4 linked regions of the Alligator mississippiensis genome follow. The protein of the gene in region 3 binds, or shares a complex with, the protein of the main gene of each other region. Links are inferred from orthologs where the notes say so. Each region holds a gene or a part of one and is shown on either strand. Other genes may lie near its edges. The genes, in order: NCAPG, NCAPH2, SMC2 and NCAPH.

Region 1 (7,643 bases), on a different chromosome or scaffold from region 3:
TTGTGGCATTGTTAATACCTCTGCAAAGTGGGAATGTTTGTGGTTCAGATTTTGTACTGGTTTGCACTCATATCGCATTCATGCTATATAGATGGAAAGGATTAAGCAAGATGTTAAGGAGGGGAAAAAATCAGGCCTACTACAACTAAACTGTTCATATTAAGATTCTATTTAAAAGTGGGCCTCTAAGAACATGTTACTAAAACATCTAGTTTTGTCCATTTGGCTAGGCAATTGATAGATATATATAAAAAAACAATTTTAGCTTAAATTGTGTTAACTGAGTTAAACTACCAAATATACCACCCAAAATAGCAGCTGCCTGCAAGAGAGCTTCACTTCTGCCTTGATCTTAAAAGAAAGAGAGGGTAGATCAGAAGACCTTTCTTACTCCCATACCGTGAACCTAAATAGAAAAATGTGGGAAGAACAAAAGTTGTAGAAGAGAAGGGTACAAATCATAGAGAAAGTTGTAGACCAATACAGAAGAGGAGAAAATAGGAAAATGAGAGTATGGTATAGGTAGAAACCACATGGCTGAAAGAGAAATTTTTGCTGGGGCAGGAAAAGATTAAGAGTAGAATTTTTGATGGTGGAGGAAATGAGGGAAATATTATAAAAACAAGAAGAGAAGCTAATTTAGTTTGGAAAAAAGAAGATTTTGATGTTGTTGAAAAAAGACACACACAAAATAAACAGTATGAGAAAAAATTAGATTGTAGAAAAAATATAGAAAAGCAGAGGATTACCTAACTACACGTAAAATTAATTCCTTGGGTTTCTGATGTTCCTTCATTGCACCTGTATGATGGTGCTGGCTAAGAGACAGATATAGCAAATAAAGGAAAGAGGACAACAATAAACTCTTTCATAGATTAATTCAAAATTGCAAAGTATGTCTGGGAACTAAATTGCTAACTAGGGTTTTCCCCCTAAATCTTAGTGGTACCAATTTCCATATCCATCCATGTTTAGTAGATATAGTTTTCAAACCCTTAAAAAGAGTGAATCAGAATGTCTATTGTTTAATTTTAAATTATTTACTTTGCTAGTGTGGAGAAAGTAGGTGAATCTTTAAATCAGGTGAAAGATTAGGGAAATAGTGGGGGAAGAGCAGCTTAGGTAAGTGAGATCACACATTTCTTCTCTGGCAATTTAGGAAATATAAACAAACCTAACAGTGACTAGGCTGTGACCTTATTTAAAACTTAGTGCTTCAGTGGATTTCCTGTAGCCTACTATTCTCAAATTAAAAATGCTCCTGTGTAAAGATTAAGTAAGTGTTTATTGTTTGGGGGTGGAAGACTTACAAAACCATGAAGGCTGCTGGTAAAATTCAAATGTAAACCTGGAAAGTTAAAGTGAGGTTTTCTGTTGGAACTTTCAAACTCAAATTAATGGGACAATGAGCATCAACAGTGTCAAGCTGGTCCCTTCTATTCTTCATCTCTGGAGACCCATTATGTTTGTAACAGAGAGATGTTTTGGTAAAGAATCTGTTGCCTGCAACTGTGGTTATATTAAATGTATTCTATTTAATTTGTCTATGGAGCTGAGGAGCTCATGGAGTATGCAGCTCTAATTTGGTATGGCTTTGTTTGTAAGCCTCACGTATAATTTACCTTCAGTTGCAGTAACTATGTGTTTGCAGAGTTACATTATATGATAGGCCAAGAAAACGTTTGTATTATATTAAGGTTGGGGGCATAAACTAGATTAGTTGTGGATAGCAGCAAATATGTGCCTCACTATCCTGAAGCAATGGGGGAGGGGTGCATTAACAAGAAAATAGGACTTAAATCTAATTTTTTTTCTATCCATCTGGCTCTGCCAGGACTTCTGGTTTTCAAAACATGAGAGGATTTTTTTTATTTTTTTCTGTTTCCTTTAAGATTATGTCTTCAACTAGCCTGCTAAATTAGCACTCAGGTTTTATAACCTTAAATTGTTTTATATTAGTACAAACCTAAACTTGTTATGTCACTAAAGCCATATTGTTTCCAGACACTTGCTGTATATATTCATCCCAAAACTTCTAATTTTGCAACCCAATTTGAGTTCAGTTAATAGTAAAGATGCCCTTGCAAAGACAGTTGAATCATCCCAACCCTTTATACAATACAGCTTAATGTGGTATCGCTTTAAGTTACAGGTAAATGCATGGTCATTATCTTAACATAGTCTCACAGGAGGATTTTCACTCTTCTAATAGCAAGAGTTGCCCAAGCTACCCTCTCCAGCTTCTACCCACACCTCCCTCCTAATCTAAATACCAGGTATGAGGTTGCCAGCTCCAGGACTTCAAAACCAGCAAGTCAAATCCCTTGCCTCATGTTTCTGGGTTTTGTGTACATGCCTCCTTTATTTTTGAGAGATAAAGGTTGTAGTCATGTTGGTCTGAAACCAAAAGCAGTCAGCATGGCAGAGGCAATATCTTTTATTACACCATCTAGATAGTTGCAAAAAAAAAAATCTTTATTTTCAAGCTTTCAGGCTCACATACCTTCCTCAGGCAAAGGAGAATACAAAGATTCTAAAATTTCTCCCATTATCTTTGAGCTTTTAAACCAGGGGTTGACAACATTTTTGGGCAGAGTGCCAAAAACACCTCCACTTGTAAGATGCTGGTGTGCCAGGTACAGATGGCGGGGAAGCCATGAAGGGCCCAATCCTTGTTGTGGCAGCGCAGCCCCAGCCCCTTCCCCCAGGTGTGCATGCTAAGCAGAATGCCTTTGCGTGCCATGCTGTGGCACCCATGCTGGGGGTTGCCTACCCCTGATTTAAACAGTGATTCTTAACCCAGGAGTTGTGGAACCATGGGGTGCCTGAGGTGTAACGAGAGGTAAGTGCAGGTTCAGGCTCGTCCCTGCCTGGCTAATCCCTCCCTGCCTGCCTACTGCCTGGTCCTCCACAAAGAGGTAGCGCTGTAATAGATAAACTAGTTAACTGTGTGGCCCTGCATTTCAACAACAGGTATTGAGGGGCACCTCAACTCCAAAAGGGTTGAGAACCACAGCTGCAAGATCTCATCCATCAAAGCTGGGAGGAGAAGGACTTGGCTTGCTAAGGCTAGAAAAGATATCACAGAATGGAGCAGAGCTGCAATGTGTTGCGGCACAGCTGACTTGCTTCATTGGGTGAAGTGTATATCTTTCCTTGTCTGGCACCATTAGGGGCAGAACAAGGGGCAATGCCTTCCCCAGACCTGCGCTGTGGGTTTGGGACAGTGGGGGAAAGTGCTTCTCCCCTCAGCCAGCCCCTTGCACCTGGCTGGGTGGACTAAACATCTACTGCAGGGACATGAGAGATACTACAGGCACTACTGAGTCTGACTAAAGCTGGACAGAAACCAGCTAGAAAGTTGTTGCACCCTTTCAAGCACTAACTTTGTAGTTGACTCTTTTTCTAGCTGGGCTCCATGATGGTTACTTTGCCTGTGCGGCGGGTCTAAACTCATGGTGGGATGGAGCAGTGATTTGCAGATATGTGTAGTGTGGCGCCACCTGTTGCATACTCCTGCCACGGTGCAAGGGTTTGAAAATTGTATCTACTCAACAAGGGTACATATTGAAATTAGTACCACTAAGATTCAGGGGAAAAACCCTAGTTAGCAATTTAGTTCCCTGACAATTTTTCAATAGGATTGTTTGCAATAGTAAAGTTGATAATGAGCTCTTGCAGAATCATAGTCAGGGTCTGACCAGTATGGAACAACATATGCATATGATATGTGTTCAGGCAGTGCAGTGTGTACATGCATGCATTGCTGTATAACATATATTAGAAATAAGAAAAAGTGAATGTATTTGACTTTTTTTCCTTTAAGTCTCACAATGCAAGCAGCCATGAAGTTAGATTTTGAGTGTGCCAGCTTGTTAATAAACTTTTGGAAAATATGCCACAAAATGCCCAGATCGATGATGAATTGTTTGATAAATTAATGAACCCAAGCTGATTAGACTGAAGGATACATTTCCAGATGTGAGAATCCAGGCTGTACCGGCACTGTCTAGACTTCAGGATCCCAAGGATGAGAGCTGCTCTGTTGTTAATGGTGAGTGCTCTGACTTTTGGCATCGTATTTGCTTCCTTTCCCTTCCAATAAGCACATTAATATCTGTCATCTAAGGTTTTCCTTTTTTACATGAACTAAACTTTACAACCTATTAAAAATAATTATTTCATTTACTAATTGTGAAAATGCTACAGAAAACATGTTTTACATTGTCATTACAGAATTTTTTACAATAAAATTTTTGAAAGAGTCGATTGTCGCCCCCCTCCCTGTATTTTCTCTTTTCCAGCACCATCATGCAGGTGCAATGAAGGCACATCGGAAGCCGGGAAACTAATTTTGCATGTAGCTAGGTACGTAATCCTCTGCTTTTCTATATTTTTCTAAAACCTAATTGTTTCTCATATTGGGTTGTTGGGTTTTTCTGGTCTTTTTTTTCAACAACATGAAAAGCTTCTCTTTTTCCAAACCAAATTAGCTTCTCTCCTGCCCCGCGGCCGGCGAGCTTGGAGGCGGCGCGAGCGAAACAAGAGGCCACCTCGCCCGCACCCTCGGGAGAACCCCACAGCCTGGCCCCGCCCGCTTCTGTTCTCGCGAGATTGGCGCGGCCTCACGTGATGCGTTTGAAGCGGGCGCGCGGGGGCCGTTGGGCGGTGGCCGTTGGCGGGTCGTGGCAGCCATGGGTGCAGATGCGGAGCTGTTGTCGATCCGCGACGCCTTCGCGCTGGCGCAGAAGCCGCAGCAGAGCCAGGCGAAGCTGGTGGCGGCCTTGAGGCGGACCTACGCGCAGGTGAGCGACGGGCCCGGGTTCCAGGGCCGATGCATGGGGAGCTCGGGCCCCGCCGTCACACATGAGGTGCCCGGGCGCCGCCCCGTCCCGCCCGCCGGAGGCAGTTGGATGGGAAGCTTGATTAATACTCTTGGGCTGCGGTTCCTACACTCTTGACAGGTTGCGCACCGCCAATTTAAATCGATACAGCGTGAAGTACCGTCAGCACATTTTTTGTCATCGTAAAGTAATTATCGTGCATGTGTTAACATGTGCCACTGGTGGTGCCCGTGCCACAGACTGGGAACCACTGCCCTGGGGGCCTGGTGGCTAATTAAGCTGGGCACTGCTCGCAGGGGGCAGGGCTAGGGTCTGCACTCGGCATCACCGTTTGCTGCCGATGAGGCAAGGCTTGGCGCTGGGCTGGTGTGGCCCAGGCAGCGCTGCCCACGGGATGGGGCCATGCCAGGTGAGCACTGAGCATAGCCTTGTCCCCATCCCCTGTGAGCGGTGCTGGGTTCGACACTAGTCTGGCGTGGCCCCGTCTCCTGTGAGTGGTGCTGCCTGGGCCGTGGCAGCCGAGCACCGAGTCTGGTGCTGCTTGCAAGGAACAGGGCTGGGCTTGGTGCTCGGCAGCGCTACTCACAGTAGACAGGGCCGGTCTCGGGGCTTGGCTGGTGCAGCCCTATCCCCTGCGAATGGCGCCAGGCTCAGTTCTTCTCTGGCACAGCCTAGGCAGTGCCACTTGCGGGGGATGAGGTTGTGCCAGCCAAGCCCAGTCCTGTCCCGTGTGAGCGGCGCTGTGGCATGTCTCTGCCTCTCTTCCCCCCCCCCCCCCCCCCCCCCCCAATTTCTGATCTAAAAAAGTTAGGTTGGCTTATACACTGGATCTATGAAATCTGTAACATTTTGGATCAGAAAAATGGGGTTGACTTAGACACTATGTTGATGTATATACAGTTGAAATACAGTAATTATTATTCAGGATGCCTGTGTAAATGATTCTCTTGGCCTGTTTTCATGCAAGTCAAAACCAGTTTTAAACCAGTGGTCTGTTTTTAGCGTAAGGATCTAAATTGGGGTGGGCTGCCCATAACCCAGATCTGGCTGCACAGTGATTTTTATCCTGCCCACCAAGTGTGTTTGCGTGAGAATGTGCCAGTCCAGTGGCTGCCTCTGTCACCTCATGCCTCTAGCCCAAGGAGACCTGTGCTGTATTAACTTGGTGTCTGGTTGCCGAAAGGTTGCACACACCTCAAACAGTTGCTACTTGTTTGAGAGACTCTTTCTCATGTTCTGTGGGTATGCCTGCAGGTGCTCATTAATATATTGTACTAGATGAATCATTTCCCTTCACTCATTCACAAATCACTGTGATTGCTATCTTTCAGCTGGATGAGAAGAAAAATTTTCATGAGGAGTTTCTTAATTTCCTTAAATATCCAATGGTAGTTTACAAGCGGGAACCCGCAGTAGAGCAAGTGATAAATTTTGCAGCTAAGTTCATAAGTTCACTCTATCAAGCAAATGAAGAGGGTGTTACTGAGGAAGAGGAAAACAATTCACTTCTGAATTACTCGTTTAACTTCCTACTTAAGGTATGATAACAGCTTTTATTCAATTATTAATCATAGAAGATTAAGGTTGGAAGGGACCTCAGGAGATCAACTGATCTAGTCCAGCCCTTTGCTCAAAGCAGGACTGTTCATCTACAGCATCCCAGATAAGGCTACCCAGGTCTTTAAAAATCTCAAAGGATCGAGATTCTACAACCTGTTGGTAACCTGTTCCAGTACTTTACTACCTTCCTTGTGAGAGCTTTTCTGAAGATCTAACCTAAACTTCTCTTGCTGCAACTGGAGCAGTCTAGCTCCATCCTGGAACAGAAACAGTCTGGCTCCAGCCTCTTTGTAAGTACCTTTTAGGTAGTTGGAGATTGCTATTAAATCCTCCCTCAGTTTTCTCTTCTCCAGACTAATGTGATGGTCAAACGTGGATCAGGTTGAGACTGGTCAAAACTTGTCAATTTTTACTGGCACAGCTTTGTTGGTTAGAGATGTGTTGGGCTTTTTCTTTTGCTGTTTTGGTGTGCTATTAAAGACCAAATGTAAATTTAGTTTAGCAGTTCTCAGCCTTTTAAGGCACTCCTTGGAAAATGTCAGCTCTTAGTTTTCCTTAGCCAAAAACCAAGTGACAAATAATATAGCAGTTTTTCTCTAGCAGAGAATTAGAGAAGACTACAGCATGTCATAATGGTTTGGACACTGGATTCCTATTTGAAATCTCTGGGTTTATCTTGCGAATCATGTTTGTATACCTAAACAGTGCTAACATTGTGTAGAACCCAGGGCAGCCTTGAAAGGATCAAAAGGCACTCCAGGGTACCATGACACCCTGTTTGATAATCAGTGATGTTGTTTATAAGCAGCTTTACACACTTATACAAGTATAGCTCTGGTTGATGAACCAGCAGAAGTTTTACAGATATAAGCACTTCTGTAAACTCCTGTCTGTGTACTAGAAAGGTAAGGCTGGCTTATAGTGCAATGGGCATGTCTACATGTGCTGATTTTTAAGGTGCATCAGCCATTTTTACGACTCATTAAGGGTGTAGGTCTACACATATGCACCCTTAATGTGCCTTTAAAAATGGTGATTTTAGGCAATTCATGCCTAAATTTGATACCTGCAAAAGCAGGTATCAAATATAGGCACAAATAGTTAAAGCACCTTAACATACATTTAGACGCTTTAAGGGGTATTAATGCTGTGTATGTCGACTGGCTTGGGACTAACTTTAGTCCCAAGTCGGTCTGCACACCATGTTAATGCGCCTTAGCAAGTGCATGTGTCGATGCA
Region 2 (7,822 bases), on a different chromosome or scaffold from region 3:
TCTCCCAGCATGGTGAAACCCAGGGGCTGCTAGGGGTTGCATCCTGCTAGTGTCCTGGGGTTCGAGGGGGCACGCAGGCCCAGGTGTTGGACTTAGCAGGGCCCGCCCTGCAGCGAGGGGGGCAGTGCCATACCGATCTTGGATTCAACGTGCTGCTTCTCCCAGTTGATGCCCAGGCCGAAGTACAGGACGGTCCCGTAGAGCAGCAGCCCGTAGACCGTGAGCTCCACCAGCGCGGAGAGGAAGGAGGACAGGCTTGGCGGCCAGGCTGCGGGGAGGAGATGGGACAAGCCGCGTCACGACGGCTGAACGCTGCCAACACAGAGCTACCCGCCAGTGTCTGAAACGCAAGCCCTCTGTGTGGGGCGTTGACTCTGAAACCTAGCGATGGCTGCTTGAGCTGGGCTGGCAATGCTCTATCCAGCCACGCACTCCTCCCACAACTCCCCTAGCTGCACGGGGAAAAGGACCCACCCCTGCACCCATACCCAGGAATTGGGGGCGCTGAACCCAGAGGAGAATCTCCTCCTCCCCACAAGGGACTCACCGGTGCCGTGCCTCTTGCGGCTGCGCCCCAGCCAAAGCCCCACGTGCTCGTCGTCCAGCAGTGAGAAGGCCAGGACGATGGTGAGCAGGTTGAAGAAGTTGTAGTTGCCCGTGAGGATGATCAGCACCTGCAGCAAGACCTGTAGGGACCCTGGGAGCTCAGAGCCAGGGCGGGGGCACCGTACCAGAAGCCCCCTGACACCTTCCTGGGGGCTGGGGCGCCCCCTCCCACCCAGACCCTGCAGGGTAGGAGCTCTGCATGGCACTGATTGCTGCATGGCCTCCCAGCCCCATTCAATCTCTGCTGCCCAGACATGCAGGCGGCAGCCGCAGGACCCTCCTCCTGCTGGCGCCAGGGACCACAAGGCCAGGACTGTGGTGCAGGGAGATGCCTGGGGCTGGAGCGTGAGGGACAGGCCTGCTTTGCATTCAGCCCGGCTCCGTGGCTCCGAGCCTCAGAGGGTGTAGATGACAGCAGGACCCTGCTTTTGCCCACAGACCCTCAGGCATCAGTCTGTCCCCTGCAGCGAGGCTGGGACCCACACAGCCCATGGGGCAGGCACAGGGCCCCGGAGCCCCCAGGCCCAGCTGGACCACGCACCTGGCAGTAGAAGGCGAAGAGGCGGAGGCGGCGGATGGGCGCGAAGAAGAGGGGCGGCACGGCGATCTCGATGACGTAGGTGGCCACGACGCTGAGCTTCTGGAACCAGACGGGCAGCTGGTGGGCGTACCAGGCAGCTGGCGTGGGGATGCACTGCGTCTCGTAGTGGTAGGTCAGGGCTGCGGGCACACAGCGGGCCCCCGGGGCAGGCGGTCAGAGCGGGGCAGGTGCCTGGCACGGAGGGTAGCGAGAGGGTCTGGAGCAGGAGAGGGGCAGGGTGCGGGGGCAGACGGAGGGACACCACCCACAGACCAGGCCATACAATCGGAGTCCTAGAGTTACGGGGCTGGCAAGGAGCTGCGAGGTCGCATCCCGTCCAAGCCCTGCCTGAGACAGGATCAGCCCTGTCCAAACCAGCCCGGACAAACACTGTGCGCGGCCTTGGAGCTACATGACACAGCCCCAGGCATTGCCCCCGCCATACAAGGGGGCTGCCAACATCCTGCTGCTGCCAGGGGGGTCATGGATGTTGCAGAGATCCCAGGCCGACGCCGTGCCCCCGCTGCAGAGGAAGGCAAAACCCCGGAGGGGCAGCACGGCCCAGTGGGTGCAGGGGCTGGGACTCTGCTACCAGCACCAGGGCCTGCCCGGGTGGCCCTGAAGGGGAAAGCGGGGCCCTCACCTGTGAGCCCCCACCAGGTAGGGCAGCGACTGGTCAGCTTCACCACGCCCGAGGCGAACATGAGCCGGAAGAGCAGCCAGCGCATCAGCCAGAACGGGAGCCCGTCGTGGGGGCGCCAGGCCGTGCTGCGCCACTTCAGCAGGTGCAGCGGAGCCACCAGCACGGCCAGGAAGCCGATCTCCAGGAGCAGGCTGTCCCTGCGGGGAGAAGAGGGGACATACCCAGGGGTCAAAGCTAGGGAGCTTCGGCCGGAGGACAATATCCAGCGCCTGCCGGAGACCCCGGCCCTGGAGGAGCCGATAAAGGCATGTGCTGGCAGAGGGGCAGTCACACAGGGTTGCCCCCCACGACCGGGCACTCAGGCCTTGGTGGGGGCACAGAGCTGCTAGGACAGGAGCCGTGTTCCTCACTGCTTCTGGAGTCCACGTTCCTGCCTCGCCTCAGAGCAAGGGCCCCTGAAGCCCCCATGCCGGAGCCCCAAATGCCTCCGTCGCTGCAGCCCGGGTCCAAATGCAGCCTTGACCTCGCTTGTGGAGCTGCGGGAGGCCGCGACAGCCACGTCCTGGCTCCCACGTCACATCTCCACAGCCCCAGGCCACACGTAGGATGTGAAGCGTCATTCCCCTCCCTTCTCCTCCCCGCCCGGGTGGGGGGCAGCGCGTTGCTGGGATCAAGGGGCTGCTTGGCCTGGGACAACTCCAGCTTTGCTACGAACTCTGGGCAGCGAGGGTGCCAGGCAGCCCCAAGGCCCAGCTCCCACGTGTGTGCACACACATGTACACGCGTGCATGCGGACAGGCCAGCACGGGCAGCACTTACCACTGGAAGTACAGGAACACCTGCCCCACCTGCGGAGAGAGGGAGGGCCAGGGTGAGCAGGCACGGAGAAAGGTGCCCCCCACCCCTCCAGAAGGCACAGGGCGAACAGGGAGACAGAGACGTCTGGCTCCGTCGCCAGGATATCACCCAGCTCCCTGGAGCCGGGCCAAACCCAAGGACGGGGCCAAGGCCAGCCCAGAGAAAGACGGTGCCTGCGGCCGGTGTGCCAGGGCCGGGCCGTACCAGGAGCGGCAGCAAGAGGAGCCGCCCGGCTCTGGCCTAGCGCCCGGGACAGGTTTAGTCATTCCCGTCCGTTCTGGAGAGGCCCGAGGGTGCGAGAGGCTGCAGCTGGGGGGCAAAGGGCATCCGCGGGGGCAGCTTGTGCTGCACGGCCCCCGGGCCCTGCCCGCAGACCGATCGCTGCAGCTGCTCCGGAGGGAGGGAGCTGGGAGGAAGTCTCTCTCCAGCCTCCCCTTAAAAGGGCAGACGCAGCGAGTGCCCAGCCCAGCCCGGAGGAGGGAAACGCAGGCTCTGGGGGAGCTCCGGAGGGGGCACCCCCAGCCCCACGGCTCGGCAGCCCCTGCACCACGCGGCCCAGGCTCCCTGCCCCAAGGGGAACGCCTGGCGGGGGGGGGGGGGGGGGGCGGGGCTCAGCTGCAGCTGGGAAGAGGCAGGGCACTCGGACCCAGGGGGGTTCAGTGCTGCTGGGCCCAGATCTCGCGCAGGCCTTGCTGCACCCGGGCGCCGTGGGGGCTAACGCAGCCACTGCCCTGCAGGGAGCTCGCAGCAGGCTGCAGCATGAGCTTGACGTGTCCGGAGCTTATTTCCTTCGGTTTCGCGAGGAAGAGAAACTGCCCCCCCCTGCTCCCAGCAGCTGACTCACCCCCCCCCCCGCCAGCTCCTCAGAGCCAGACAGCGCTTCCACAGGCCAAACCCGCGTGCACACGTTACAAAGCCCCGGACGCTGCGGTGCACATGTCAAACACACTGTAACCGTGTGAATGCGTGTTAAACACGTGCGCACCAGGATAGAGTTGCGTACATGTTAAACAGGCTAGCGCTGCGTGTGCGCGCATGTTATGCACACGTTAAACAGCCCAGAATTGTGTGTTTTAAACAGGCTCAAACTGTGCACGCGTGTGTTAAACAAACTACTACTCTGCGTGGTGATGGTGTTAAACAGGCTACAACTGCGTGCGTGCTAGGCTAGAACCACGTGTGTGCACGAGTTTTAAATAGGCTAGAACTGTGCACGTGCGCGTGTTTGAACCAGGCGTGCGTATGTGTATGCCAAACCACGTGCACGGGTGTGTGCCCACGTGCGAAGCTATAAACGTATGTGCGTGTGTGAAGCAGCGTGCGAGCCTGACGGAGGCGTGCGGTCGTGGGGCGGGTCTGGGGGCACGTACCTGGTAGAGCGAGAGGTAGAGCGCCCAGAGCAGCAGGAAGACGAGGGCGTCGCGCAGGCGGTCGCACACCAGGGCGCCGAAGGAGGCCAGCACGCCCAGCAGGCACAGCAGCTCCATGCCCTGCTCCGTGTCCAGCCCCAGGCGCGGCCCGAGCCACAGCAGCGTGGGCGCGTCGCGCAGCTGCTCCCGCAGCGCCCGGCCCGTGAAGCGCAGCGTGCGGCGCGCCGGCAGCACCCCGTCCCGCCCGTACAGCCCTGCGCACAGCACACCGCCACCGCGTCAGGGCGGGCGTGCAGCACCGTGCACACCCCCTCCCCCTGCCCCACCCCACCCCACCCCCCTAGCGTGCACTGCACCGCACTGCAGTGTGTACTGCACTGCACTGCACTGCACTGCACCGCCCCCCCATGTACACAGTGCAGTGCCCCCCCCCCCGTACCGGGCAGCTGGCGGTAGAGCGAGGCGAAGGCGGCGAGGTAGGCGGCGGCGATGCCGGCCAGCAGCAGGCGGCGGGCCAGGCCCGCGGGGTCGCCCATGGCGGTGCGCGGCGCTGCACAGCTCCGGGAGCCGCCCGCCGACGGGGCGGGGCCCGCGCAGGACACGCCCCCACCGCCCCGCTCCGCCCCGCCTCGTACACGTCAGCGCGCGGCGCACGTCAACCTCGCGCGGGAAGCGCCAAACGGCCGCCGCGCCTCGGGCCGGCGGGGCGGGGCCCGCGCAGGACACGCCCCCTGCCCTCCGCCCCGCCCCGAACACGTCAGCGCGCGGTATACGTCACTCTCGCGCGGGAAGCGCGAAACGGCCGCCGCGCGGGGGCCGACGGGAGCGCGCTCCACCCCTCCCAGTGCCGGTGAGTGCGTGGTGCGGTCCGCGCCCCCCCCCCCCCACGGTGCAGTGGTACCCCCCAAAAGAACCCCCGCAGCCCCATGGTACAGTCCGGACCGCACAACCCCCCCCCCACTGCCTCATGGTACAGCCTGGGGTGCCCCGTGGTATGGTCCAGGCCCCCCACCCCACCCCATGGTACAGCCCGGACCCCCACCATACTTCATGGAACAGCCCAGGCCCCCTATCCCCCCTCCCCCCATTTCCGGCAGACCCCCTGGCACCCCCACCCCCTGCAGCGGGAGTCCCCGTGTGCATGCACACGCGTGTGGTGCTGAGCCCTCACCTTGCTTCCCCCCCTCCAGCAGTGCCCCGCCCCTGATGGCAGCACACGGGTGAGAGGGAGACGGAGCCGCCCCACCCCTGCCCCCGCCCCGCCGGCCGGCGCGATGGACGACGCGGAGTCGCGCTTCCTGCACCTGCTGCAGCCCATCCGCGACCTCACCAAGAACTGGGAGGTGGACGTGGCGGCGCAGCTGGGCGAGTACCTGGAGGAGGTGCGGACACGCGGTGGTGCGGCGCGGCGCGGCGGGGTGGGGGTCGCGGCGCGCGGAGAGCCCGCTGGACCGGGCCGCGCGTCCGTGCCGCTCCTGCCCGCCGCGGCCAGCAGCCCCTGCTCCTCTTTTCCCCGCAGCTGGACCAGATCTGCATCTCCTTCGACGGCGGCAGGACCACCATGAACTTCATCGAGGCGGCGCTGCTCATCCAGGGCTCCGCCTGCATCTACAGCAAGAAGGTGAGCGCCCGGAGCGAGGCCAGGCCGCAGGGAGCTTCGCCAGGGGCCACGCGTGGCTGCCTCCAGCCCCGGCCTCGCTCTGCGGAAGCCGAGTCCAGGGATCGGCCGCCCGGGAGAAAACCCCTTCCAGGGGCTGCGTTGGTGGAGAAGACGGGCAGCCGCAGGGCCCAGCCCTCAGACCCGTCACTTTATCCCGGCAGGTGGAATATCTCTACTCGCTGGTCTACCAGGCCCTCGACTTCATCTCCAACAAGAAGTAAGTCAGGGCCCGAGGGGCCTCTCCTGCCAACTGGGCTCAGTGCTGGGGGCTCCCCCAACGCCCCTGCAGCCGGCTTGGACGGCGGATCCGTGCCTCGCCGGCGCGGTCCTTTGCCCTCCCTGAGCTTCTTCCGAGCCAGGGCCTTGCAGCGTGGCGCGGGGTTGAACCGGTCCCTGCAGCACTCGCTGCCCTTGGCGGGGGGAGAAGCTGCCTCTGGTTTGTGGTTGGCAGCAAAGTGACCTGCCGGGTCCGGGGAAGGAGGCGCTGGCAAAACTGGGGGCCAGTGCCCCACCGTGTGCTGACGCCCAGCTCCAGGCGTGGGGTCTGCTCCCCTGGAGCTGCTGATCCCCGGGCGATGCAGCGCTGCACGAGGCTCGTGGGCATCCATGGTTCCCTTTGGGACCCCCTGGCACGGATCCAGGATCGTGGCCTTGCGTTGCGGCAACGACAGCCGTGTTGGGGGCCCAACGCCCCTCATTGGCAGAACAGGCCTGCTTCGGTGCTGTGCCAGGCGTCTCTGGGAGCTTCCCCCTTGCCACGTGCCCCTGGCTGTCCCCAGCGCTGCCCGAGGCGCTCCCCCACGTTGTCTTGGGGCTGGTGGCAGCTGCGGCTCTTACCGAAAGCCCGGAAGGGCGAGGCTCTCACCGCCCTGGTGTGAAACTGGCGCTGGGCTCCTGCCCTGCAGCCGACTTCCCCAGTGAAACCTGCTGTGTCAGAGCCGGCGCCTCTACGCCGGGATGGACCCTTGCTGCGCTCTGTTGGGTTGGGCCCGGCGGTGTCTGGGGCATTGGAGCTGCTGCAGCTGCGTGACGGTGACTGTCATGGAGCCAGACCTGGTCTCTGCTTCCCTCCCCGTCCCGTTTCCTGGCTCTGAAGCATCCTGGTGGACCAGCCCATGCTGCAGCCTGATGCCACGGGCCACCGGGGACTGCAGCTAGCTTCTCTCGCATGGAGCTGCCTCCATGGGTGTGTGTCTGGCGCGTTTTGTGGGCACCCGGCACCTCTGCCCCGTCTGCCAGCAGGGAGAGACCCTGGTACAGGCCTGCCTCCAGCGCGGCAGGCTGTGGCCCCGCTGCCAGCTGTGCCCTTTGCTGGGGGAAGGCTCAGCGTTGGCTGTCCCTGGAGAAGCCACATGCCCATCGGGGGACTCGCCCTCTTCGTTTGCCCTCCTGGACTCTTTAACAGCAACTGAGGCCAGGCCTGTCTCTGACACGTTTGCTCATGGGAAGGGCCAGACATGCCTGGTAGCTGCATGCGTTGCCTGCCCTGGAGCTGGGGGAGACGGGCCGTGACTTCCTCAGTGTCGTTGGTTGGGGTCGCACCGATGCCCCAGTCGCAGCCCCAGGGAACTTCTCTGCTGACAGCGACAGTTTCAGATGCCTGCACTCTCTTGTTTTCCCTCCTGACCCAGGCGGGACAAGCAGCCTGCGTCCGTGGGAGAGGACGGCCACGATGCCGACGCCACTGTTAGGACCGGGACGGAGGAGGAAGAGGTAGGATGGCCGGCGTGGGGCAGGCGAGCCCTCGCTGCTTCGGGGAGGCATGCAGGGAGGTCCAAGGTCGTCCTAGGCTGTCAGGAGCTTCTTGTGGACTGTCCGGTGCTCTTGGCCGGGTGCAAGAGCTCTTTGGGGGCTCAGAGTGGATACTGGCAAACCCGCCTGTCGGCGTCCCAGACGTGCCGTCTCCATCCAGCTCTCCAGACCCTCCGCCGCTGGCCTGCTCAGCGCTCTTCGTTTCTCTCCGCACAGTTCCTCTCGCTGGATGACATTCAGGATGCGTCTGCAGATAATGTGAACATGAGGAAGGACCATCGGCCCAGCGTAAGAGATACCGTCTCCAGCCCCGGCCTCTTGTACCCCCTTCCTGGCAGGGGTTTTGGGTGGAT
Region 3 (7,374 bases):
GCAGGCTGCGAGTTGCACATCCCTGCTGTATAACATGCAGTGGCTAAAACGAAGAGCAAATACTTGCATCTTGAATTCAGTTTCTATCAAGAAGAATGAAAAAATCTGTAAGCATTTCTGAACAAATAAAGGCTAAAAGCTTACCTGCCTGGTGACGGTGATCTCATCATGAGCCTCAAATCCCAGAGGACTTTGTTTCTTGTCAGAATTATCAAAGGTGATTGATACAGTTGCTTTAGTAATTCCAGCCTGGCCATTTTTGTAAACCAAATCTTGTAAATTGGATGCTCGCACCTGAAAATATGGAAGAGACATGAATGATTAACAAAGTCATTGTATTAATAGCAAATGGGGAGTCAACTGAAATGTCTGACAAGTAGGCATGCTATAGATTTATGTACCTTAGTAACTTTCAAGAACGAACAAACTGTGGAGGTATAAAAAAGGCTGCAGTATAAAACAATATACAAAAGACCAGCCCAATTTTAATATGTCAATTAAAGATTTTTATAAGAAATTAATGAAAAAAATTAAATGGATAAATATACGCAGCAAGATGGTCTAGTCTAAAACACTGCTCTCTTCATGATGGCATCTATATGAGATTGTAAAGATGTTATACTAAATATTCATTGAGGTTCTAATGGATTACTGAGTCTAAACCACACTTTTAAGCAATTCTAAAAGTAGATACAGATCTTCCTAAACATACATATTACTTACGTAAATGGTACTATGTGCATAGTGTTACTTATTAAATATTGTTATTATTCTTTGCTTTTAAATAATAAAAAGCCTCTTTTGCTAAAAAAAAAAAAATAAAATAAAAAAAATCATCATTTAACAGTATTCTCCAGAGATTCCCACATGCATAATAAGGAAATGAGTTAGCATCCTAATCTGCTTTTGTATTTCTATTTTATAAAAACGTTATGATTTCAATCTTCTGCTACTTTTGTCCCATGGCTCTAGGTTGCAGACTGCATACTAATTAATTGCTATCATTATTACAAGCTAATTATATTATTTTTACATGTTAAAAAACTAAGCGAAGTAAAAGGGACCACCATTCAGTTTACAGTCGGTTGGTAAAAATGACTTCTGCCTTAGGCGAAACATCATACCTGATGGTGTGAGAAATGGATTGCTTTGTTAGTACAACTACAAAAGCTATATATTCACATTAGTTTATCAAACTGGAAAACATCTGAAAAAGAATTGTTAGCAGCTGCAACATTCCTTGATAAGGACGCACTCTATGCCTGACTGTAAAGCAATCTTGCTAATGAGGCATCAGCAATGATCACATCATCATTTTTACTTCTCAATAGAATCCTCCGATTTGGATTGAAAAATTTTAATCTTCACAGAGTGCAGAAGAGGAAGTGTCAATCTTCCTCATTTTAGTTAAAAAAACAAAACAAAACAGTAAAGCCAGCCACACATTCTGTGAAGGGGGAAAAGGATGCTGCCTGATGATCCTGTTCAACAGGGAGAAATTTTATTGTTGCTCATGGTCATTCAGAACCGTGTGTTTCATCTTGCTCTTTACCTGAGATAGGTTGGAGATGCCCAACAGGAAACAGATGGAATCCAGGATATTGGACTTGCCGCTGCCATTTAAGCCAGTGATAGCATTGAACAGTGGGTCAAAGCCATTGATTTCTGTCCTCTGGGCATAGGACTTGAATCCCTCAAGGATAATTGACTTGACATGCATCTTTTTGGTCTCTCGGAAGGACCATGCCAAGCCTCCCTTCAAGGGGGATGAGGAAAGTTCTCCAGTTTATAGTGCTGCAGGTTTCAAAACAATAAAAGCAGACCAAATCAAAACAGAGTGCATTCAACAGAATCAAAAGCACAAAGCAAATGGAAAAGGTTACAATGCTGCCCTAACAGACAATGGTAGCTGCTCCCTCAGGCAGGGAAGTCATCAGGGTGCTGCCCAAACATTACATTGACATTCGTCCAACAAAGGGCAAAGGCCCTCTCCCCCAAGCTGTTATTTACAATAAAATATGTATGGATTCATGCCTCATGAATGTTTCTCAGCAAAGACATACAGCTACTGGGGGAAAAAAACCCCTCAAGACAATCATCTTCCTGAAGACGGCAAAGTCGACTTATTTTTCCTTTAACAGTGTGCATGTTGTGGACGCCTGTCTGCATTCAGAGCGCAGCGTGACTCTACACATGGTTAGGGGTTTGCTGAAATAACAAGTTCATAAATTAAACAGACAGACAAGGTCCTTTGGGTGAATCTGTTATCTCCGATATCAGATTCGCCCAAAGAACCTTGTCTGTCAATGTCCTTCAACCAACACGGCTACAACCTACACCGCTGTAAATGAAACACACACACACACACACACGTATGCATGCATATTATATACACAGGCAGACAAGGTTCCTTGGGTGAATTTGATATCTTTTATTAGACCAACCCAAATAGTTGGAGAATAGTTATTAAGCAAGCTTTCGGGTTCACACACACGCACGCATAAACATGCGCACGCACACAAGCACATAGATATACACACCCTGAAGAAGGAAGTTTATGCCCCAAGCTTGCAAACAGCAATTTCCCAACTATTTAGTTGCTCTGATAAACGACATCACACCTGCCCACAGGACCTTGCCTACCTGCACGCACCTCAACTCGTGCACGGCTAATGCCGGCTGCGCACGGGCGCCCTCAGAACGGCGGCCGCAGCCCCGCGGGGTCCACAAGGCGGAGGCGGCTCCCCCACCCCACTGCCCGCGGACCCAGCCCCCCTCACCTGCCGCCGCCACCGCCAGCGTCCGTCGCCTCGCTCAAATTTTGGCGCCCAGCGGAGGCGACCGTTTGCGGCTGTCCCGCGCGCTGCCGGACGAACTGGCCACCGAGCTACGCCCCTAGCGCCTCTCCCTCCCGCGGCCACCCGCCGCCTCGGCACGTTTTCTTTTTTCTTTTTTTTTAATTTTTTAATCGATTCTTAAGGCTAAAAAAACAACCGTCGATTCAGGCACCTACTGGTGTCAGCCATAGCCAGCAAGGACCCCCTTCCCCTCCCTCTCCCCTGCTCAGCGTTCTGATTAGGGACACAGGTGGGTGGGGCCTTTGAGAGAGCCCGTCGCTGTGCGGGCGCAAGAGGATGACGTAACAGCAGTAGCGGGGCGGGGTAGGGTAGAATAGAATAGAAGCGTGCGCGGGGGATGGGGCAGTGCTGGTGCTGTGATTGAGGGCGTGCGCGGGCCGATGTAGCCGCAGCGCCCCAGCCTCGCGCTGCGGAGCTGCTAGCGGCCTGCAAAGCCCATTCCTGCCTCAGCTTTGCTAGGGTGTAGCCACCCTCCCCTTCCCCTCCACAGGGGCCCCTGTAGCGAGCCGGCCTTGCGCGGCCTAGTTCGTAAGCAAGTGCCACAGTTTAGGCCTGTCCCTCAAGGGAAGCTTTCTGGCAAAACCTGCTCAGGTTTCAGCGCTCTGATGCTCAACAAGGCATAGCCACGTCTGGCAGCGCAGAGAAGACAGAATTGAGGAAACGGGTGTTGGAAACTGGTATTTGGCCACAGGAAGCAGCCGATTTGGCAAGATAAGCAGCCAAAAGGTGGTGGGAATATTCACGCTGCAGGTCTCCTCTGGGTTGTTAGCAGAGGGAATTGATCCCAGCCCTGAGCGCAAGGCTGAGCCATTAGGGCAGTACTCCATAGGTTACGGAAGGCAGGACAGGGTTGACCCTTAGAAACGATGTGTGCAGCATAAGATTTTGTGAGCCTGAGCTCATTTCAGAGCTCGTGCTATATGTCACTGATTTTAGCTAGTCTGTAAGGTGCAAATCTACTGTGACTTCAAACTGAAGAAGGTAGCTGGCTCCATCCATGTGCTACTGCCATGGTAGCACAGGACAGCACTGCAGTGATCGTAGTCTTGCATCCTGAGCACTAATGCTGACAATGGAGCCCTGTACAATGCCAGGAATAATCACAGAGCAAACAGCCATAACGAAATGACAGCAATAACTTGTTAGAATTCAGGAAATGAGTATTTCTGCCAAGTATTTAACCACAATGACACAAAGAAACAGCAATCTCATTACATCTGTTTAATCTGCAAAGTGATTATTACCAGCACTGCATGCAAGGCTGGTTTGGTTTGGTTTGGTTTGGTTTGGTTTTGGTGGCCAGTGACTCATGGATGTGGCTTAGCTTTAGCCAGAGCAGTAATATCACTGTCCATCGCTACAGGGAGACCTGATCTAGTTAGCAATCCCTCTCTTCGAGAATGATCTCTACCACAGCTCTTTCATGAGTCTTGAAGTGACTTAAGTGTCCAACCCTTGAGCCACAGACGTGTCCATGGAAGTCGCAGGTCTTTCTGCAGCAGAAAGTAGGCCGTAGTCTGGGCTTCCTCTCCTTTTCCTTCCTCTGCTCTCTCTTCTTTTCAGGACAGGATGATTTACTTCAGTGCAGGGTGTTTCTCAGTTGAGGTTGCAGTGCTGTCGGAGTTAGTTAGCAGCCAGCTCCTCCCTGTTCTTGATGTCAGCATCTGTTTTCCTGAGGTATGCCTTCAGTGTGTCCATGTAGCATTTTCTTCGTTGCTGTGAGATCTCAGGCCACAACTAGGCTGGGAGTAGAGCACTTGTTTTGGAAGTCTAGAGTTGAGCATCCTCATACGATGTCCAGTCCAGCAAGTTGGTGCTTGATGATTGCCACCTCAATATTACGCGGGAGCGGCAAGAGACGCGCGGGTGAAAGCTCGCTGTGCCCCCGCTCCCCCGAAGCCCCCCAGAAACCCTCCAGCAGCCGCGGAGCCCCCCGCTGACCCCCAGCGCAGCCGGGGTAAGCGGGGCCCGTGGAGAGAAGGGGCTAACCCCTTAGTGTGTGTGTGTGAGGCGGCAGCTGAGTGGAGCCGGGCCGGGTCAAGCCCCGCCCAGGCCCCTACTTGGCCCAGCCCCCCAGGGAGCCACACGATCGGAGCCGCGCGAACAGGCTGCACAAACAGGCGCGCTTCTCTGCCGGCGCGTGAGTTAGCACGGAGTTCGTGCGGGAGGGCGCCAGACCCTGCCTGCGCACCCCGCAGGGTAGACAGTCCCAGCCGTAGCCAGCCTACCAGAGGCATGACACGGATGGGCAAGCGCCGCACCCCGAGGGTCCCCTCGGGCTCCGCGGCCCCCCCCTCTGGCACCTCAGAGACGGCCACCCAGACGGAGCCCCTGGTTCCGGGCTCCATGCAGACGGAGCCCCTGGCTCTCGGCTGCGGGGGCTGCCTGTCCCTTTTTCAGGCTCTGGGGCCTGGGAGCATGGCGACCTCCCCTTGCGGGGTCTGCTCCCTTTTGGGGTCTCTGGTGCGCCAGCTGGAGGAGCTCCAGGCCACAGTCCACAGACTGCGTGCCATCAGGGACTGCGAGCAGGAGATAGACTCCTACTGCCAGGCCCTTCTCCCCCGGGAGGCAGAGGGTAGATCACAGTCTCCCTCCAGGCCAGAGGAGGACTCTGGGACCTCCTGCTGTGTCCAGCCAGGGGCATGGACCAAGGTGGTCAAGGGCCCTAAGGCCCGCCGCACCAAGGCCCCACCCCCGCCACAACTGAGCAACAGGTATGCACCTCTTGCTGCCCCAGCAGAGCCTGCTGAGTTGCCGGCCCCCACAGGCAACATGGGCCCAACTGCAGCTCCCGCCCCTGCTCTCCCCAAGACAAAACGTAAGGTGTTTGTTGTGGGAGACTCCCTCCTGAGGGGGACGGAGGGGCCAATCTGCCACCCCGACCCCTTAGCCCGGCAAGTCTGCTGCTTCCCGGGGGCCCGCATCCGGGACATTGCGGAGAGGATCCCCAAGCTCCTCAAACCTACAGACCGCTATCCCATGCTCCTTATTCATGTGGGCACCAATGACACGGCTCGGAGCACTCCCAGCCAGGTCATGAGGCGCTACAGGGATTTGGGAGCGGGGCTTAAGGGTCTGGGGGCACAGGTGGTGTTCTCGTCGATCCTCCCAGTCTCAGGCTATGGGCTGAGAAGGGACAGGAGGATCTATGTGGTCAACCAAAGACTGCGGCACTGGTGTCGTCAGGAAGGCTTTGGCTTTCATGACCACAGCCCGCTCTTTGGCGAGAGAGGCAGCGAGCTGCTGGGAAGAGATGGTCTCCACCTCTCTCCCCTAGGGAGGAGGCTCTTCTCAGCCAGACTGGCTGACCTGCTCCACCGGGCTTTAAACTAAGCCCGCTGGGGGACGGGGGCACGACCGCCACTGCTGGCCCGCTGAGCAAATCTTGCAAAGCCAGCGGATCATGGCACTCAAGGGAGCCCTCCCCAGCCCCAGCCCTGGTAAAATCTGTGGGCAAGGAAGGAGCCCCCCAGGGGGCGCTTGCCTGCCTGTACACAAATGCCAGGAGCTTGGGGAATAAGCAGGAGGAGCTCATCCTCCTGCTCAGTGCAAACAATTACGATGTCATAGGGATCACAGAGACCTGGTGGGACTCCACCCGTGACTGGACCACGGGGATAGATGGCTATACCCTGTACAGGAGGGATCGTGTAGAGAAAAGGGGTGGGGGTATAGCTCTCTATGTTAAGGAAAGCTACGCGTCCCTGCAAGCCGATATTGGCGACCAGGGTGGACGGCTGGAGACCCTCTGGGTTAAAATCCGTGGGGAACACGGCACAGGGGACACAATGGTGGGAGTCTATTACAGACCTCCCACCCAAAGTCCTGAGCTAGACCAGGAGTTTGCCCAGGAACTGGCTGAGGCAGCTTGCTCCAGGACCATGGTTGTCATGGGTGACTTCAATTACCCAGACATCTCGTGGGAGGATCGCTCAGCAAAATCTGAGCGGTCGCAGAGCTTCCTCTCGTGTGTGGATGATCTCTACCTGACTCAAGAAGTCTATGGGCCAACGAGAGGCAAAGCGCTGCTCGACCTGGTGCTGGCTACTGGGGAGGACCTAGTCGGCGACCTAGTGATCGATGGGAAGCTGGGTGACAGCAACCACGAGCTGATCACCTTCACCATCCGCCGAAAAGCTGGCAAGTCGGTCAGCAACACGCAAGTCCTTGACTTCAGGAAAGCCGACTTTGACAAGCTCAGGAGGCTTGTCAGTGAGGCCCTAAGGGACTGTGACCGCAGGGAGAGGGGAGTTCAAGAAGAGTGGTTGCTCCTCAAGGGAGCGATCCTCAATGCACAAACTAAGTCTATTCCATCTCGGAGGAAAGGCAGCAAGAGGGCACAGCAGCCCCCCTGGCTCTCCAGGGATCTAGCAGACCTCCTGAGGCTAAAAAGAAAGGCCTACAAAGGATGGAGGATGGGAGTCACCTCCAAGGAGGATTATTCTGCACTGGTCCGGTCCTGTAGGGAGCAGACCAGGAAAGCCAAGGCTGCAACTGAACTCCAGCTAGCTTTGAG
Region 4 (7,796 bases), on a different chromosome or scaffold from region 3:
TCTAGCTGCTGCTGAATACTGGTCTCCATAGGTGGATTTATGGTTGAAGAGAGCTAAAGGGTCTCCAAAGCTGTGAAATAGGCGAGAGACCCGAAGCAGGCAGTAGACAGCAAGACTGCCCTAAGAAAGATTAGCTCGATTAGTGGAACATCATGACTATAACGGAGAAATGAGTTATCCTCTCTGGAGTGAAAAGCAAATGAGCCATTAAGTCAATGGACCACCACAGGTGCCCGAATAGTAATGCAAGAATCAAAAGCAGGGTGTTACTATACGAGGCAAAAAGTCAGCCATCCTGCTTAATATACACATCCCAATTTGGGAGAGGGGGCCAATTTTTGGGAGAAAAAAAAAAAAAAGGCAAGCCTTGTCTAAGAGAAAAGATGGTATTTCCTTGCCCCAGTTATCCCAGAGCAGGATCCCATCATCCTAGGGACGGGGAGACTGTTCCAGCCCAGAAGTGCTCATAATCCACAACACAGATGCTTCTGCACACCCCCCCCCCCAAAATAAACCGCCTACTCCCAACAGCAATCCAGGAAGAAATCCCTGAACTCCCGTTGGTGCCTGCCTAAAACTAATCCATTTTAAATGCTCCCAGCCCGAGGAATAAGAAGCTGGCCATCTTTAAAGCTGCCTCAAGCCACAGCTTTGAACTCACATTCTCTGCAGACAGCTTAAAGCAGGTTGAGTAGTGATCTGAAATCTGAGCGTTTGTCAGTCTTGGGATCACCGGCAGAGAAGTGTCTGCCTGCCTGAAGAAAGACAAGAACCTCTGCTTTAGAGAGCTCAGCACTGGGCACCTCCAGAGAACACCACAGGGAAGTGTCGTGTGATAGGGGCATCTAACTTGCTGTTCCTGGGCCAGGTCTGTCCCAGAGTTTCTGGAGGGCCTAGGGCTTCAGGGAGGAGATAAATAGCAGGCACCCCACTAACCCAGCCTGAGGTACAGATCATCTCCCCCAACCAAGAAGCCCCATCATTAGGTTTGTGCCCCCTGTATAGGTTGGCCACATGTCCCAAACTGTCCTGCCTGGCCTCACTCCTGGGAGCTGCAGGGCAGAGTGCACATGCACAGGTGTATGGCAGTACATAGGGCCAGAGTAGCTGTTGGGATGTGCTGGGGAACATGGTGCCTTTGTCACAGAAGCTAACCAGGCAGATGGGTGTAAGCCCAAGGCTGGCTCTGCCTGCCCAACTGCTCATGGCCAGGATGCAGCTGAAGGTGCTGGGACAGAGCCATGAGTCAGACAGAGCCCCTGCAGTGCCACCAAGCCCGGCTGACAGCACGGCCCCAGTTCTGATGAGAAAAGGCACTGTGCTCCCCAGCAGGTCTTGGCCCCAGCCTGCACACCTCCCCATCCCAGATTTTCCTAAAATAGTTATGGTCACCCCACCCCTTAACTCCGGAATCATGCTTGTCAGCCCATCCCCTTAAACCCATATCACATCTGTGTCTGCCCACCCTCACCCCTGCTCCTCCTCCTTCATCCCAGATCATGTCTGTCTGTCCACCCTGCCCCCCTTTAACCCCGCTCATTTCTCCCCCCCACCCCCCTTTAACCACCAACATGTCTCCCCATCATTCCCACCCCTTAACCCCATATTGTGTCTGTTCATCCGTCTTCCCCCGCCTTAACTCAAGATCAGGTCTGTCACTCCCCCTCCCCATCCAAACCCGGATCATATCCCTCCATTATCTCTTCCCTGCCTCTTTAACCTCGGATCGTGTCTGCCCTCACCCCATGGGTGGAGCCCCGCAGCAGCCCTCTTACCTGATGGCAGGGGATTTGACCACAAGGGGCGACTCGGTGCTGCTGAGCTTCAGGTCAAGGATGCGTGAGCGCCGACGTTGTTTCTTCTCCTGCTCATCATCATTGCCGGCCAAGCTCTCCAGCTCAGGGGTGCTGCCGGCACTCAGGGCCTGGGGCCGGGTGCTGGGGGACACAAACACGCTATCGAAGGATGAGGCGGTGCTCAGGGAGCGGCCGGCGGACTGGGGTGTTGAGCTCTTCATCTCTGCTGGGAGGGGAGGGGGTGGAATGGAAGAAAGAGAAAGGGTTTTTTTAATGAATCAGTGACCTCCAGCTGCCCCAGTGAAACTCCACAGACCTCACCTACAAGGGCAACTTGCCCTCCTCCCCAAAGCAACCCCCACCTACACTACTTCCTTGCAAACACATCACCCCTCCCCCCTCCAATACAGTGGCTAGAAATTGCAGTGTGCAGATATATAAGGAAATATGGACCCCACTATCGTATTTCCTTGCAGCTTCTCCCAATTTAGTGACATGTACCCTGCCCTCCCCACGGTATTTCAAAATTTAAGGGCGCCCCCTCCAGTACCGTATTTCCTTGCAGACACACCTTCTTACCCCAATCCGGTAGCTGGAACCTGCACTAGTGCACAGATACACAAGGAAACACGGCCCCACTACAGTGTTGCCTCGCAAATACACATTCCTCCCCCAGTTCCGCGGTTGGTCATTTCAGTGCAGATACACAAGGAAATACGGCCCTGCCACAAGCACAAGCAAAGGGTCGGGCGGGACCCGCAGCAAGAGCGCCTCGGCCACTAGCCACCTGCCAGCCAACCAGCAGGGAACTCTCAGCATGTTCCCGCCTCCCGGCCAATCAGCGTGGAGGTCTTGCCGGACAGTGAGTGAGGTATCACTGCCCCCCCCCCACGTTTAGCTCGCGGCACTCGCACTCTCCCGCCCGCCCGTCACACCTGATCGGCCCCGGCCCGGCCCCGGCCCCGGCCCCGGCCCCACTCACGTGCTCCGCTGCAGCAGCAAAAACTCAACTTCACCCGATCATCCGATTCTTCTCTGTTCAAAAAAACGCGCGCCACCCCACCGCGCAGGCGCCGAGCGGATGGCGTAATCACGCTGGTAACGGCTCTGGCGTCAGGGGGGGTGTGGCCTGCGGTAGCGGAAGTCCCAACGCCGGCCGCCATGTTGTGCGCATTGCCCGCAGCGAGCGGCGTCATCTTGTTGCGTTCGGCCGCCATTTTGTGCGGCGAGGGCTGAGGCAAACTCTGTCTCTTCACACCGCCCCTGTGCAGGGCAGCCCTCCTTATCCTTTCAGGTAAGTACAATTTGAATGCTGTTACAATTATATATTTTAGTTATGACAAACTACAATGACAAACAGGGTGCTGTTGTTCACCAAGTCCCAGGTTGCAAGAAAGAGACGGTTTTACAACGTACAAGAGGCACTGCATGGGGTTAATTTCTGGGACTCGTGGCCACGGGAGGTGGCAGAGGCAGACAGCAGTGCTGTGGTCAACAAGGGACTGCACGAGTGACTCTTAACCAGGGTGCCAGGTAGACCGCCACGGCCCCTGCTTCAAAGCAAGGCAATTCCCCGCCCCTGCCCCTTAATCCGCACCAATCTGATGATGGGGTAAAATTCCTTCATGACCTCAAATGCGGGTGGGAAGGGACCTCAGGAGGTCACATCTAGTCCAACTGATGTAATCTTTTTATGTACTCTTTTTTATGGTATATCTAGCGTCTGTAAACTATATCTAACCCAATACTTAAGGCAACTTGCAGATGCTGGGAGGGGTGTGGTATGTGTGTGTTAAGAGATGCTTGCAAAGCACAGCGTGTGGGATTCGGAGGATTCCTGGAGTGCCTCCCTAACACCAGCAGGATAACGTCTCCCTGACACCTGTAAGATAGCAAGAAGTTCAAAAAAAGGTCTCATTATAATGCTAAAAATCACACCCCTGGGCAGAGCAAAAGTATGTTAATGAAACATATATGTATGTAAATGAAATACATGGCTAAAACATAGGTATAGAGACATGCTCAGTAGAGAACGTCTTATGTCAGTGGCTTGTAACCAATCACTGAGCGATACACTTGCAAACATATGTATAAAAGGTACCCAAAGGTAGAAACCGGTGGTGCTTGCTTTGCAAATGATTGCCAAGCACCCCTCTCTGCGCAGACTTGAAACAATAAAGATTAAGTTGGATCCTCCACCCCTGTGTGTTTATTGGCAAAAGCGCACCAGGCACGAACTCACACTGTGAGACTAGCCCCAACTAGATCATCCCAGCCAAGGCTTTCTCTACTCAGGTCTTGAAAACCTCTAAGGATGGAGATTCTGCCACCTCGCTGAGTAGCCTGTTCCAGCATTTTACTACCCTACTGGTGAGAGTTTGTCCTAATATCTAACCTTAATTTCCCTTGCTGCAACTTGACACCATTGCTCCTTGTTCTGTCATCTGCCACCGCTGAAAACATTCTAGCTCGGGGGCAGGCAGAATTTGGGTCACAGGCGAAATCTGGCTGGCAGTAGACTCCATTTCCCAGCAGACCCTGCCTGCATGGCTGGGGCCAGTTTCTATGGAAACTCCAGCAGCAGCCTGGCTGTGATAGTCTGGGGTTGGGGTTTCCATGGAGACCAGCCAGGCTGGGATCTTGCAGCGGTGATGCCGTGGTCCAGAGCCACGGCAGAGCTGCAGTCTGTTGCCTGCATGCTCCGGGCAGGGGCGTGCAGACAGTGGATCGTGGCTCTGCCTTGCCTTCTTGCAGTGGTGATAGCATGGTCTGGAGCTGCAGCAGAGCTGTGATTTGCTGCTTGCATGCCTCTGCTTGGAGCACGCAGGCTGCAGATCACAGCTGTGCCGTGGCTCTTGACCACACTGTCACTGCTGCAAGATCCCAGCATGGTCCCTGCCTTGCTGTGTGCCCTGCCCAGGCTGCTGGGGCTGGTCTCCAAGGAAACCCCAGGCCTGCAGGGCTACTGCTGGGGTCTCTGTGGAAACTGGCCCCAGCCACTTGGGCAGGGGCTGCTGGGAAATGGAATCCACTGCCATGCAGATCCAGCCCATGAACTGGACTTCGCCCACCCCTGCTTTAGAGGCTGCCCCTCATACCACTCAGCTTTGTGCTGAGACTGAAAAAGTCACTGGTAGGGCAGGTGCCTTATGAAGTGGCAGCAAGGAATGCTGGGTAACCTAACCCTTCCACCACCAACCCAGTGGGACAGGGCTGGGTCATCTACCTCCTCTGAGCCAAAGAGCTTGGGCTTTAAGGCAGGGACATGCACCTCCTCATAGCCGTTGTGCTGGAGTCTAGCCACCTGGATCCACCATTTTGCCCACTCCTGGTCTAGCTCCATTCTCTTTGGAACCAACCTTCAGGTAGTTGAAGGCTGCTATTAAAATCCATCTCAGTCTTCTCTTCTACAGATTAAGTAAATTCAGTTCCCTTAGCCTCTCTTCATAAATCATGTCCCCCAGCCCATTAACCATTTTTGTTGCCAATTATTCCACGTATTTTCTGTAGTGAGGGTTCCAAAACAGAACACAGTACAGGCAGTCCTCTACTAACAATGTTTCGAACTACAATGTTTCACACTTACAACATAAATCGACACCCTGTTTCAACTTTACAGCACCAGTTTCGACTTTACAACACTTGATCCAATGTGACGCCATGCCAGCAAACAAGTTCACTGCATCACTCATCTCCCTGGAGAACATCTGGCCAAACTTCCTTGGGCACTTTCTTTAAGAAAGCAGCGAAGACTCCAGAAAAACCTGCAGTCAAGACTCCCGAGAGGACTTCAGCCAAGAACCCTTCAAAAAGTCCAACCAAGAGCCTTTCAAAAAGTCCAGCAAAGTCACTTCAGAGAAGTCCTTCCAAATCAATATGATTGCTATTTACAATATACATACATTAATGTAGCTATATTACTCATCTATAATTGAATGAGTACAAAATTCTGGGGTATTTTTGGTGAAAATAGGGTATTGGGCCTTGGTTTAGGAACCAATCCCCCATTTATAACATTGTTTCTTATGAGAAAATTGGTTCTGAGTTACAAAATTTGGATGTAAGACAGGGTTTGCAAGAACCAATTGTGTTGACTGCCTGTACTCTAAATATGGCCTCACCAGTGCTGAATAGAGGGAAGGACTCACTTCCCTTGATCTGCTGCAATGCTCCTACTAATGCAGCCCAGTATGCCTTAGCTTTCTTGACAACAAGGGCACGCTGCTGGCTCATATTCAGCCTATTGTCCATTGTAACCCCAAGGTCCTTTCCTGCAGAGCTGCTCCTTATTCAGTCAGTCCCCAGTCTGTATCCCTTACTGTGTGACTCCAATCACTGATCACATGGATCTTGGTTTTCTTTGTTAAAAAATCCAAAATTTGCTAATTAACCCCCCCCCCCCCCCCCAAATCCATGTTTTTCCACACTTAAAATGAAGTACCACTATATAGGTATCAGTTGAACACAATGTTTTATTGAGATATTTACAATTTTAAAGCAATTTGGAAACCTACCAGTGCCTTAATCATTGATAAAATAAATTCTAAATACCTATATATTTTGGCATTTGATTTTGGTATTTTTATCATAAAAAAATCAGTTTCCTCTGCCTCTTTCACTGATCAGGATGCAGGTCCAGCTGTGGATATTCCCCTCTGCTCTTTTGTGGTGCTGAGCAACCCTGATATGGCAGTGCCCTGCCCCTGCCTGTGCCGTTGCCCCTCACTCCCAAGCCACAGCCCCCAGTCCTGCTGGTGCCCTGTCACTCCCAACCCACAATTCCCTGTCCCACCAGCCCTACCCATGCCCCTCACTCCCAACTGCCCCCTCCCCCTCCTCACCAGTGTCCGTTGTGACATGTAGCCCCTGTCCCTGCCAGTGTTCCTCACTCCCCACCTACAGCCCCTGTCCCCCCCGCAGCTGCCTGGGCTGCATCCTGCTCACTCCCTGCCTTGCAAGCACCAGCTGCAGCCAGCCAGTAGTACCAGAAAACCCAGTTGTTGTGGCCCCAGTGGAGGGAAGAGCGCAGAGCCTGGGCCCCTTCTCTGTCTGTGGCTGGGAGTGGAGCTGAGTGAAATGGGGGGGGAAGGGGGGTTGTAGACTGCCTGCTGGGGGGCTTGGTGCTCCCTGCCCTGCTGCCCTTCCCCTGGGAGCCTCCCTGGTGCAGTGGGCAGGACCCAGCGCAGGAGGACAGAGTGGGGTGGAGAGACTAGGTGCTGCTGCCACTCCACCGCCAGAAAGCAACCCCATACCAGCTGCATTGCTGTATCGAGGCACCACCTGCCTACCCAGCAGCAGTGGGGGCAGTACAGAGTTGCGCGTCCCCACTGCTGCTGGACTTGCAAAAGGCTTCCCACCTAGGCAGTGCAGCTAGTGCAGGACTTCTGGCTGCAGCAGTGACAGCAGCATCGAGTCTCCCCACCCTACTCTGCCCTCCCATGCTGAGTTCTGCTTGCTGGGCTACAGGGACAGCTTCTGCCTAGTGCCAGTCTGACTAGGCTGCAGCCCTGTGCCCCACACCCTGCTGTCCATGCAGAAATCTGTGGGGGAGCATGTGCCCCTCCCTGATGTTGCCAGTGGGTGTGCCTGGACCATGCCAAAACACTCCCCAAGTCCTGACTCTCCATCCTGCCTCCATCCCATAGACTTACTTTTTTCCAGTTACCAGGGCTGCTCCCATCACCCTGCATAGCTGTATTGCCAGCCACCGCACACAAGCACACGCTTGTGGCACCCCCTGCCACTGATTGTTCTCCCCCCACTTCCCCCAGCTACCAGCAGCACCTAGCAGGCCAGAACTCTGCTAGCCTGCAAGGGGAAACTCAAGAGTTTCCCGCTTCAAAGGGAAAAAGCTGGGTTTTTCCAAGAGAAATGGAAAACCTGGATCCCTGCTGAACAGCATAACATTTATTGTTTTTGTTGCAGTGTTTTACAGCATCCATTTAAAGTAGCTGCACAGCTGTGCTTGGCCTTTGGAGATGTGCACCAGGGAGGGCTCCT

What was found.
Region 1: SMC2 (region 3) and NCAPG share a complex: the UniProt entries of both Homo sapiens proteins name them as parts of the condensin complex. The link is inferred for Alligator mississippiensis from reciprocal best matches to the Homo sapiens genes SMC2 and NCAPG.
Region 2: the proteins of SMC2 (region 3) and NCAPH2 are in contact, whole or in part, in a cryo-EM structure (PDB 9F5W), measured with the Homo sapiens proteins. The link is inferred for Alligator mississippiensis from reciprocal best matches to the Homo sapiens genes SMC2 and NCAPH2. Residues at the interface, in NP_001036015.1 of Homo sapiens: Leu93, Thr125, Gln128, Asp129, Cys132, Gly135, Leu136, Asn137, Met173, Tyr174, Lys177, Lys178; in NP_689512.2 of Homo sapiens: Glu46, Phe53, Ile54, Glu55, Leu58, Leu59, Gly62, Ser63, Ala64, Cys65, Val66, Lys69, Tyr73.
Region 4: SMC2 (region 3) and NCAPH share a complex: the UniProt entries of both Homo sapiens proteins name them as parts of the condensin complex. The link is inferred for Alligator mississippiensis from reciprocal best matches to the Homo sapiens genes SMC2 and NCAPH.

The regions. Positions count from the first base shown.
Region 1 is NC_081825.1:34,481,633-34,489,275, forward strand, and holds the start of NCAPG (condensin complex subunit 3), read left to right. Parts: upstream 1-4,632; 5' UTR 4,633-4,694; coding exon 4,695-4,805; intron 4,806-6,175; coding exon 6,176-6,382; intron 6,383-7,643. UniProt on the Homo sapiens protein: Regulatory subunit of the condensin complex, a complex required for conversion of interphase chromatin into mitotic-like condense chromosomes.
Region 2 is NC_081827.1:1,908,921-1,916,742, reverse strand, and holds the start of NCAPH2 (condensin-2 complex subunit H2), read left to right. Parts: upstream 1-4,818; 5' UTR 4,819-4,907; intron 4,908-5,247; 5' UTR 5,248-5,331; coding exon 5,332-5,439; intron 5,440-5,576; coding exon 5,577-5,678; intron 5,679-5,878; coding exon 5,879-5,934; intron 5,935-7,348; coding exon 7,349-7,430; intron 7,431-7,685; coding exon 7,686-7,757; intron 7,758-7,822. Other genes in the region: LMF2 (lipase maturation factor 2), read right to left, coding at 134-268, 548-686, 1,148-1,326, 1,830-2,026, 2,649-2,677, 4,058-4,311, 4,497-4,593. UniProt on the Homo sapiens protein: Regulatory subunit of the condensin-2 complex, a complex that seems to provide chromosomes with an additional level of organization and rigidity and in establishing mitotic chromosome architecture.
Region 3 is NC_081826.1:165,751,863-165,759,236, forward strand, and holds the start of SMC2 (structural maintenance of chromosomes protein 2), read right to left. Parts: upstream 3,007-7,374; 5' UTR 2,781-3,006; intron 2,734-2,780; exon of another isoform or gene 2,654-2,733; intron 1,795-2,653; 5' UTR 1,721-1,794; coding exon 1,553-1,720; intron 295-1,552; coding exon 145-294; intron 1-144. UniProt on the Homo sapiens protein: Central component of the condensin complex, a complex required for conversion of interphase chromatin into mitotic-like condense chromosomes.
Region 4 is NC_081830.1:10,298,177-10,305,972, forward strand, and holds the start of NCAPH (condensin complex subunit 2), read right to left. Parts: upstream 3,014-7,796; coding exon 2,779-3,013; intron 2,555-2,778; exon of another isoform or gene 2,368-2,554; intron 2,023-2,367; coding exon 1,776-2,022; intron 756-1,775; coding exon 662-755; intron 121-661; exon of another isoform or gene 30-120; coding exon of another isoform or gene 1-29. UniProt on the Homo sapiens protein: Regulatory subunit of the condensin complex, a complex required for conversion of interphase chromatin into mitotic-like condense chromosomes.